2 linked regions of the Mus musculus genome follow. The protein of the gene in region 2 interacts with the protein of the main gene of each other region in a biochemical or structural test. Links are inferred from orthologs where the notes say so. Each region holds a gene or a part of one and is shown on either strand. Other genes may lie near its edges. The genes, in order: Cab39 and Stk26.

The links.
Region 1: the proteins of Stk26 (region 2) and Cab39 are reported together in a solved structure, tested with the Homo sapiens proteins (2 studies listed by IntAct, with this or other methods). The link is inferred for Mus musculus from reciprocal best matches to the Homo sapiens genes STK26 and CAB39.

The regions. Positions count from the first base shown.
Region 1 is NC_000067.6:85,789,546-85,796,436, reverse strand, and holds the start of Cab39 (calcium-binding protein 39), read right to left. Parts: upstream 2,997-6,891; 5' UTR 2,616-2,996; intron 2,549-2,615; exon of another isoform or gene 1,463-2,548; intron 1,081-1,462; exon of another isoform or gene 964-1,080; intron 1-963. UniProt on the Homo sapiens protein: Component of a complex that binds and activates STK11/LKB1. In the complex, required to stabilize the interaction between CAB39/MO25 (CAB39/MO25alpha or CAB39L/MO25beta) and STK11/LKB1.
Region 2 is NC_000086.7:50,889,871-50,893,370, reverse strand, and holds the end of Stk26 (serine/threonine-protein kinase 26), read right to left. Parts: coding exon 3,402-3,500; intron 2,072-3,401; coding exon 2,047-2,071; 3' UTR 273-2,046; downstream 1-272. UniProt on the Homo sapiens protein: Serine/threonine-protein kinase that acts as a mediator of cell growth. Modulates apoptosis. In association with STK24 negatively regulates Golgi reorientation in polarized cell migration upon RHO activation.

The sequences.
Region 1 (6,891 bases), on a different chromosome or scaffold from region 2:
AAAGGGTAGGTGGGGCCACAACAGATTATATTGGCCATGAATATATTCTTTTTATCATGTCCTTCTTTAATTTTCTTTTTAAATTGTGTACACATGTGGGTATGGGAACATGAGTTCAGGTGTCAGTGGAGGACAGGAGTGTATAGAGCCGGGGCTGTACAGGAAGTTGTGAACCAAACTGGATGCTGGGAACCCAACAACAGCAGAACTCAGGTCCTCTGCAAGAGCAGGTCACACTCTTAACCTCTCCAGCCCCTCAGTGGCCTACTAAAAGTACTCCTGCTCACATAGCAGAGGTCTGTGTGCCCGTCTCCACTCCTGGCGATCACATAAATGTATTCTACCAACCAAAATACATTCAATAAGCAGCAGTCAGGACCAAACCTTGATGAGAAGCTAATAAACAGACTTCTAACAAGAAGCCTTAAGGGAACAATGCAACCTTGACAGGTAAAAGCCTAATAAAACATTTAAGAAAACTTTCAGACTGGTTCTATTGGTTCATGCCCAGCCCTTAGGAGGCTGAGTCGGGAGAACTATCTGGAATTTTAAAGCTAGCTTGGCCTCCACAGCAAATTCCAGGACAACTTGGGCCAGAGTAAGAGGTTGTTTCAAAATGCCAATAAATAAACAAATATATAAATAAATGTACTTAATATATTTTTAGGAAAATATACACAGAAAAAGATCAGAAAGGAAATATGCAAAAATGTTTACAGAAACAAAATCTAAGTGATAAGATTAAGAAAACTTAAAGAAAAAAAATTCCCAGTCTATTTTGTAATTCTAGCACTTAGAAACCCAATGCAGGAGGATGACAGGTTGGAAGACCTGAGCTACACTGTTTCAAAAGATGGGGATGGGGTGGGGGAGAAAGGAGAGATGGACTACTGCTTCCATGTTTCAAAGAGTATGTCTTACTTTAAGAAACAAAAATTAGAATAAAAAGACAAAGTCTCTTACTGTGATCTAGCCGGCTGGCCTGGCCTGGCCTGGCCCTCCTCCGTCTCCAAAGTGCAGAGGCTAAAAGCGTTCACCACCACCACCACCAGCAGCAGCAGCAGCAGCAGCTAGATCTTACTTTGATAAAGAAAAATGTAAGACTGAAAAAAAGTATGATTTCCTTGTACATATAAGCACTTACAAAACCAATAGTAAGTTCTAAGGCAATTCTTACAAATCATATATTGTAAGCATTTAGTAGTTACTAATTACTTGCTAATTTTTTTAAACCTGTAAAATAGAGCTTAAAAACTTTCACTTCTGGCTCTCCAATATTTTCATAACTAAAAATTAACAAGAAATTTTTTACTTTTCCAGAAAAATGGTGTGTGTCCAACTGTCTGTCTAGACTGTTAACAGTTCAGTTCTTATTACTATTTTTTTTTTTATAAATCTACAGTTTAATGTTCAATTCCAACACAGGGATCCAGAAGTTCTGATGCAATTTTAGAGAACTCACCAACGCAAATGCCTTGTGTGTAGAGAAGGTTAATTTAGGCACCTCTTTTAATTACTTCAGATAAGCACGCATCTAGTGACACTTTCTACAAAAGGTATTTTCCTTGGCTTGGACATAGATTTACTTAAATATCCCGGAAGCTGTCAAAATCGACCTCAAACTGCATTATATTTAGGAAACAATGCTAAGTCCTGACTGTGGCCTTCTCTGCTCGCCTGTCTTTCTCAAGAGCGCCTTTAATATGCCCTAGCATACATTTCCGGCCTCATGAGTCACTGAAAAATGAGTTCTAAGTTTTCCGTGGAAGGTCGTTCAAACAGCTCCTCTACAGCATTCAAAGATCTGACTCCAAATGCCTCTTTAGTCTACCCCACCTATCACGGCACCCGGTGATGGAATTGGCAACATTCGCATGCTCTTTGTACCTTTGTCCTCCAGCTTTGTTGCCCCTCCACGCCCTTCTCCACTGCAACCCCCTTCTCCCGAATCCAATCGAGTCTTCTAGACCCGGTTTAGCACCGCCTCGCCCAGGAAGCCTCCCAGGTTCGTGGGAAGGCGGAAACGATCGACAGGTCCAGTCACCCCGGAGCACCTTTCTAGCAATTGGTAGTTCCTAAACGGAACTTATCTATCCCCCTCCTGCCTGGTATCTTAGCTATTTGTGTACTCGTCTTATCTCTCACATCACCGCGTTAAAGCTCCCCAGGGGAGGGCACCTCCCGGCCGGGTTCACCTCGGAGTCGCTCCGGCACCGGCACGCAGTCGGCGTTTTGGATTGCTCCAACCGAACCCGGGAACGCGCCGAACGCACAATTCCTAGCCAGAAATCAGTTAGGCATTTTCCTGAAAGGTCCCCTACAAAGATAGTGTCAGCGTCCCGCTAACAGTGAGGCTACGCGGAGCCCAGGGCTAGGTGCTCGGAGTCCCCGGAGCGGCGGGAGTGACAGCTGGCCGGGCCAGCTCTACCCCGGTTAGTTGTAGCCCCGGCCGGCAGGCCCCCGGAGCCTAGTACGGGCGAGGACAAGGGCGGCGCCCGGAGCTCCGGCTGCTCCGGGCCGCTCCCGCCGCCGCCACCCGGGAAAATGGAGGCGGGTCGGGCGGAAGCCGGCGGGCGTCCGCGTCGCGAGCAGGGCCGGGCCGGGGGATCACTCACCGGGCTGGGCCGGGCCAGGGAGCTCCCTCTCTGCTTCGTCTCCGTCCCCGTCCTCGGCCGCCGCCGCCTCGGGCTGCTCGCTCGGTCCCCGCGGCGCGGCTCGGACGCTCCGGCCCTCCGTTGTCCTCCGCCCGCAGCTGCTCCGGGCGACGGGCTCCCGCGGCGGCGGCGGCGGCTGCGCGGGCGGACGGTGGCCCAGGGGTTCCTGCTGTGGCCGCCGCGGTGCTGCGCTCGGTAGGGCTGCGGCTGTGGCCGTGAGGTCCCGCACTGCCTTCGCCTCTGAGGTTGTCTCAGCCTTCGCGCGGCTACTGAAGCCCCAGACTCTCTCAGGCCGCGCGGCTCCTGGCGCCCCGCGCCCAGCTCCGGCCTGAGCCCGGCTTTGACGTGCGCACTGCGCAGCCGCCGAAGGCGGGACGTCGGGCGGCGCCGCAACGCCCTCTGCGTACTCGGGCGCCCCCGGACGGCCGGGCGGACTCGGGACGCCTGAGTCGCCGGCAAGTTGAAGAGCTGGGGGCACTGAGAAAAAGCAGAAGGGGAGCTGGAGTCGTCGTCTATGCGCCCCTTACTTGCTAGTTCCTGGAGGAACACAGTCCACTTCCTCAAGTCTTAAAACTTTACATCTGCGGAGGGCTCAAAACTGTTCAAATGGGTTCTTTCATGCTTGGGCAGAACCTGTAACTTCACTTTGGCATCTCCTGACAGGGGAAAAAAAGTGATGAAATATTCCAAAGAAACAAGATCCAACAAGGGTACATATCCTACTTTTTCCAAAGTGGATTTTAGTGGTGCATGCCTGTAATCCCAACACTGGGAGGTGAACTCAAGAGAATTAGGAGTTCAAGGTCATCCTAGACTTCACAGGTTTAGGTCAGCCCGGGCTGTGTGAAAAACTCTGCCTATAGATAGATAGGGAAGCAAGTTCCATGAAGAAAGAAAGAAAGAAAGAGAGAGAGAGAGAGAGAGAGAGAGAGAGAGAGAGAGAGAGAGAGAGAGAGAGAGAGAGAGAGAGAGAGAGAGAGAGAGAGAGAGAGAGAGAGAGAGAAACAAGTGCCATGAACACACACCCAGAGGAATAAAATAATGCATTACAGAGATCTAATGACAGAGTCTGGAACTCAAAAATGCTACATGTGTGCTCCTTTGCTATATGCTTAACAATGGGACAGGATTTTGGACAGCTACAGTGTGCTAAGGAAGTGGTTTCCTGAAGGAAGCAAGGCGATGTGAGCCTCCTGTGAGAACTTCAATACTTGAGAGAAGCAAGCTATCCATAGGATTTGGAGCAGGAAAGGGCCAGGCTTTGGCGTTTTAAAAAGGTCGTGATCAGAGGCAGGCGAATTTCTGAGTTTGAGGCCAGCCTGGTCTACACAGTGAGTTCCAGGACAGCCAAGGCTACACAGAGAAACCCTGTCTCAAAAAAAAAAAGTCGTAATCACTGTTACTGCGATATGAAGATCAGAGTGAAGGGCCGGAGGAATTCCACAAATACAGTAGACGGGGGTTGCTGACACCCTATAGTAGGGCTCGGGGGTATAGCTCAGGCTATACTATAATTATGGTAGATTCTGGATTCAGTCGTGGGTAGTTTGTATGCACACAAAGAAAGCTGAGACAAAGATGAGGGAGATAGAGAAGATAACACGTATGAAGTATCCATAACAATAGAGAAGATCACTCAGACATGGGCTCAAGCCGATAGAAAGTCTCTATTACCAGCCAGTGACTACTCTGGGTGTTTGGGGTTCAAGTATAGTCCTGAGCCTTTCTCAGGTGAGTTTGTTTGTTTATTTATTTATTTATTTTACAACTCAATGGCTCTCCCCGCCCCCCTTTTTAAGTACACACACACACACAAAACCATATCCTGGCTTGTCACACCTCGGTTAGCAAGAACAGTCATCCAGTCTAGTTGCAGAACTACAAAAGCCAAAAAGCAAGATTAGTTCCTTTATGGACTTTCCCGGAACTATGGACTTTGATGGATTAGGTCTTTGTTCTCTCTTGTTTTTGGCAGGTATTGCTGCCTCTATCCTGGGTCTCAGGACCTGAATGGTACTTTCATCATGGCATCTGTTGTGCTAAGGTCTGGAAACCTGTTACACTATAATCCTAGTTCTAGCAAAGCAAAGACTGTAAATTTGAAGCCAACCTGATCTAAGTAGTGAGTTCCAGGTTTCTAGCGCCACATGGCAAGATCTTGTCTCAACACACCACCCCCTTTAATTTGTGTGATCTTGTTCGTATATGTATGTGTCTGTGTGCTCAAGCATGTGTCAGTCAGGTATAGTAGTAGTGCACACCTATAACCCTAGCCCTTGGGAGTGGTGGGGGGAAAATGAAGAATTCAAGGTCATTCTCGGTGATATGCAGTGACCAGACAGATATGTGGTGTCAAGAAACAAGCAAACAAAACCATTAGCATATTAACACTTAAAATCCATTCAACCAAGCATAGTTCATCTTGGACATGTTGAACACTTCTAGGGAAACTAGCCAGACTGGTGAAATTTCCCTTGCAAAGGGCCAAAGGCTGCACCTACCTTCTACCCACAGTTACAGAGAGAAGATGCCAGACAGCTTTTGATGGCCTCTTACAGAATCGGGCTATTTTCCATATTCTTCTATTGGGGACGGGAGGGCTCTGGAAAGCTGTTTCTACTAAACTATTTCTCGGGCCATGCCACTTTCTGGAAAGTTCTGCATCTTCATTTTGAAACATTCTCAGGGGGCCTTTGTTTTCCTGTGTGGTGGCCACAGAACACTGGGTTCTGTGCTTGCCTGGGCTGTTGCTGTTATTGTCTCCCTAGAGCCTGTGCTGGTCCTGTGTAAATCTCCCATCATGCCGTCTCTTCCTCTTCCTTGCTGATGCTGGGCCACCGGATGGAGGCACTTCCCTCCCTTAATTAGACCCTCTAGGAAAGGACTTTGGAGCCTGACTCATGGCTTCCCTCCCACCCCACCCAGTGCCTTCATTCACCTGGCTGTATCATTGCAGCTCACCCTATTGGATACGGTCCCTTTACTGTGCTATCCCAATGACCTTCACATCCACTGTACGTCAGCAGCCACTAGGCTAGCCCCACCCTGGACACTGCAGTTTCCACCATGGCTCTGCTCTTGAAGTTTGAACTCTCCAGCACTCCTGTTTGCCTCCCTTCCCATCCACCCACCAGTCCACACCCTCAGACTCACCAAACCTGCTCCAAATCTCATTAGAAATTTGTTTATTTGGCAGGTGCTTCTTGAGAGTAAACTAGGACCTCGAATTATGGCAGCGAAGCACTGGCTGATAGGTAGCTCCCCTCAGCGTCCAGGAAAGACACAGGCACGAATGGGCAATTACAGGAGAGGGAGGCAGGAAGCCTGTAAGAGACCTAGGACGTTGAATAATGGGGTTCATGTTTAAGGAGAAACATGAAAGAAGCACAAAAAGCATGGTGAGTTAGAGGACCGGCCTATGTGCAAGGACTTCTGTATGTGAAGCGACTTGGGGGTAGGGAGGAAGGGAATAGATAAAATTGGAAAGATAAGCAAAGCTGTAATCATTGAAAACCTATGTCCTCCAGTGCTAAGGAGCCTGGACTTCAGCATGGATGCTCTGGGAGGGTGGGTAGGTACACATTGAAACTTTGTCATTGAATGCTGCGTGCACAAGTGTTTGGTTTTTGTTGTTTGTCACTCCACCCCCACCCTCACCCCCAGTGCAGAGCTCAGGGTGAAATCCAAACCCAAAGCATTGTCCCTGCTGGACAAGCACCGTGCCACAGAGCTGTCGTCCAACACCGCATTCAGATGTGTACTTCGGAATGCAGAACACCTCTCTAATCAGACATACATGGAACCACAGGAGGGCCAGGATACAGACAGTGAGACCAGCAAGAGGCTACTCTCAAGTCAGGCAAGAGGTAATAGGGTCTGAGCTAGGGTCGGCCACAGTGCACCTCCTCCAGAGTCAACGTGAATCTGATTGATATTTGTAGAGGGAACTATGTAATGGAGATAAGAGAGAAGGAAGACTCCGGGAAGAGAACTGGCTTTGATCTGGGAAACTGTTTGGATGGTAGAGCTATTTACTTAGATGGGCATTATCTGGGAGCAATCAGAAGCCGGGAGGAAATCCAGGAAAGCAAGACTAATCAGCAATCTAAAGAAGGGTAAGAGGCAGGAGGCCTGAGGAGAACCTGCTGGGAACTGCAACAGCTTCCTGGAGAACATAGGGAGTGAAGAAGCAGTAGCCAGGGGGTGGTGGCGCTCGCGCCTTTAATCCCAGCACTTG
Region 2 (3,500 bases):
TTAAATCTGTATATGATCTTTTATTAAAATAGTAATTAAGGGGATCGTTAAATTAGCCATCTGAAGACACTTTTAAAAGTACTATTAAGAGTTTTATGGTAGGAGGAAGAAATCAGGATATATATCTTCAGCTATATAAATACAGTCAATTCTTAGTAACTTTTAGTTTCAATGGAAGCCTTGGTTATGTTCCAATAATAAAAAAGAACTATTATAAATTAATTAGAATAACATATCAGACCCACCCTCAAGAAAACAAACATCGAGGATCATAAAATTTAAATATTTATTTTTAAAATCCCCCAAACAGTGACATATGCTTCACATAGAAACAGGTCTACAGAACTAACGCTATAATGAGTAAGCAATACCAGCTGTATTTGGGATGCAGGCGTGTGGTACAGTTTTCCATAATCAATTTATGAACTTGTTTTTACTTTCACAAAAATATGAATGTCACCCATTATTCAAGTCACACAATTATTTTTAGAGCACTATGGAGAACAAACTGCGATTGAGTGTCATTTACAGCATGGACAAAAAAACTAAAAATCTAACCAAGTCATCAATTCAAGGTACAGTCAACTCAAAGCAACAGGTACAGGATAGGCACCAATGAAAAGAATTTTCTTGGCATACAATGTTCTGCCTTTCAAATGTTTGTATTTCTTTTTTAAAAGAAGGGATGTAATTGACATTTCAATTAAAAACTGCATTGGCTACTTGTACAATGTCTTTCCTTTTCACATTTGGCAGTTACACAGATATTTTAAAATGTTTCGTGCTAAGCTCAAATGTGAAGATGCAAACATTAAAATCATAACTGTCAAAATTAATCAGTACCAACAATTCTACATTAGACCTAGTTTAGCACTTAGGCAAACATAGTATATATATATATATATATATATATATGGCTAAAAAAGGCTATAACTCACTTAACAGTACCATAAATAGAACTGAAAATTAACTGCACAGTCTATCTTACTTTTATATGACAAGAAATGATCCTGCTCTATGGTATCTTCCTATGAGTTGGACAATGTTCATTTAAATACCCCTTCAGAATTGAACACACTATACTTATGAGTGGATAATTATAAACAAAAATGTATAAATAGTTTCTACAAAAATGCATTGCCACGACAAAATAAATGCTGGTTTAAAGTTACGCTCATACCTATTGATCAGGTATTTAATCACAAGACAAAAAGGTTGTTAAAAGTTTTCTAAATCCAAGCATGTAATATGTGATTTGAGCTGAAGATTTAAAGACTGAAGCCAGACCAACTCCACCATTCTCGGCTAAATGAGATTACTTTAAATGTTAAATAAGGGTTAATTGCTTCTTCCATCTGAAAGAGAAGATAAATACACCAAGAGGTACTTCTGCTGTTACATGTTGCATGGAAGTGCTTCAAACACAAGGTTCTCCAAGGTGCTAGACATGGGGCTGCCTGAATTCAGAACAACTTGCTAGGAAAGTCAATACTTTCTAGGTCTAGGTGGTTTTCTTTTTTTTCAAGAGCTTCTTAAAAACACTTGTTTTAAGAAGGTATTACTTACTTCCACCTCATTACAAATAGTCATTTTTAGAATATACTTGTGTGGGGGAAAAAGAATGCTTTTTGAAGCTTGATGATTTACAAACATTTAATAGTTAGGATGACTTTGAAAGACCTGTATGTTTATGAGTATACAGTTAACTAAAGATTCCAAACCAAACAGTATTCATTCCATGAACATAAGAAATAATGGTACCTAAAATTAAAAAACAAAAAACAAAAAACCTGTATCTCAGCATTTACTACAATACCGGCAAAACTATAGTATTAAAATTATTCCTTACAAAATAATCTCTTTAAAATACAAAATGATAATCACCATCACAAAATAGTTTAATAGCTTCCTCTAAATCTTCAATGTGGCAAAGATCCAAAAGGCACATGGAGCTCATGAGTTAAGCATTTATAAGGTTGACATAGCTTTGGTGGGTTTCTCCTGGTCCACATGAAACAGAAGCCAAAAGTAATGACAACAGATTTCTTAAGGGGATTCATCCGCAGAACACCTACAAAATTAAGACAATATAATTCAATGTATAATTATAAAAGTCATCTATATTTCTTACTCATGAACTGTACAATGTATGAAGAAGCCACATTATTTCCATTAAATCTTACATAGATGGATGTGTTAAACAATGTAAAAGAACGGTTAAAAATTCCTTTGTGTCTGATTTCACAACTTACAACTTGGCTTTGTTTGCAAATAAGAAGAGAACTGGAGGATTTTAAGCATGGTTTAGCACCAGAGTCCTGAGTAGGCTTTACTGGATGCAAAGATAATTAAGAGGGATTTTATAGGTCACGTATTTATTTTCACCGTGAGCTTAGCTGGCTAAGGAAATCAAAAGATGGGACAAGAGGGGATACAATGGGTTTAAAGTTAAATGCTGTACAACCATGTTAGAACTCGCTTAAGCTAATGAGTATGAATGCATACATACGGAAGTGTTGTTTAAGAAAAGAAATTTCAAATCAAATGTAAGAACTTTGTGAGCCAAATCAAAGTAATAGAAGACAAGACAGAAACTAAATGCAATCAAATGGCTCTATTCTTGTCTCAACTGTTTTCCCTAAATCTTTTAACCAGCATTTCAGAAGGGTTCAAATGGAGAAATTTTGCTATGGCAATGATGAGAATAGTGGTCTTTCTGCAAAGGCTAAGAGTACTGTCAAGAGTGAAAATGAGGGTAATGGTTCATGTGCCCAAATAAGAACATACTCAGTGACATTTTCTCTCATTTCATCCTAACAGGGAAAGACAGGGCAAAACCTGGGCTGTTTGGTTCAGTAGAAAACTACCTTCCCATATCTAAATATAGTCATTCCAAAAGCTAAAGTTGGGTTGGGGGGGCGTGGCTCAGTGGGGAAAGTCCTTGAAGTACAAGCACAAGAGCCTGAATTCAAATCTCTAGCATCCATGTTCGGGTCAGGTGGAACTGAGCCCATAGAACTTCAGCACTGGAGGGCAGAGAAGAATATTCTTTCTGGGCAATCACTAAACAGGGCAGGCTGCAGGTTCAATGAGAGGCCCTGCCTCAAAAAATAAGGGGGAGAGAAATAGAGGAACAATCCCAATGTTGACGTCTTTCCTTCCCAGGCCCATGTGAGAGATAACTCCCCACGTTTCTTTCTCTCCTGCACCCCCAGCCCTGTCTTTCTCTCTCTGTCAAAGAAGACGTTTAAATTTGGCAAGAAACAAATCTGTTTTCAAACATACAACTATCCGAATGTGATTTTGCAGGGAAAATGTAGGAAACAGCTGCATCGAAGTAACTTTATTACATCAGAAACTACCATCTAAAATGCCAACCGAAAATGACACTTCAAACTTACTTTTGAAATTTTTCGATTAGTTTCTTCACCATCTTATCTGTGATGCCAGGACAGGCGGTTTCAGCCACAGCAATACTTTTCTCAAGTTCTTCAATTGCC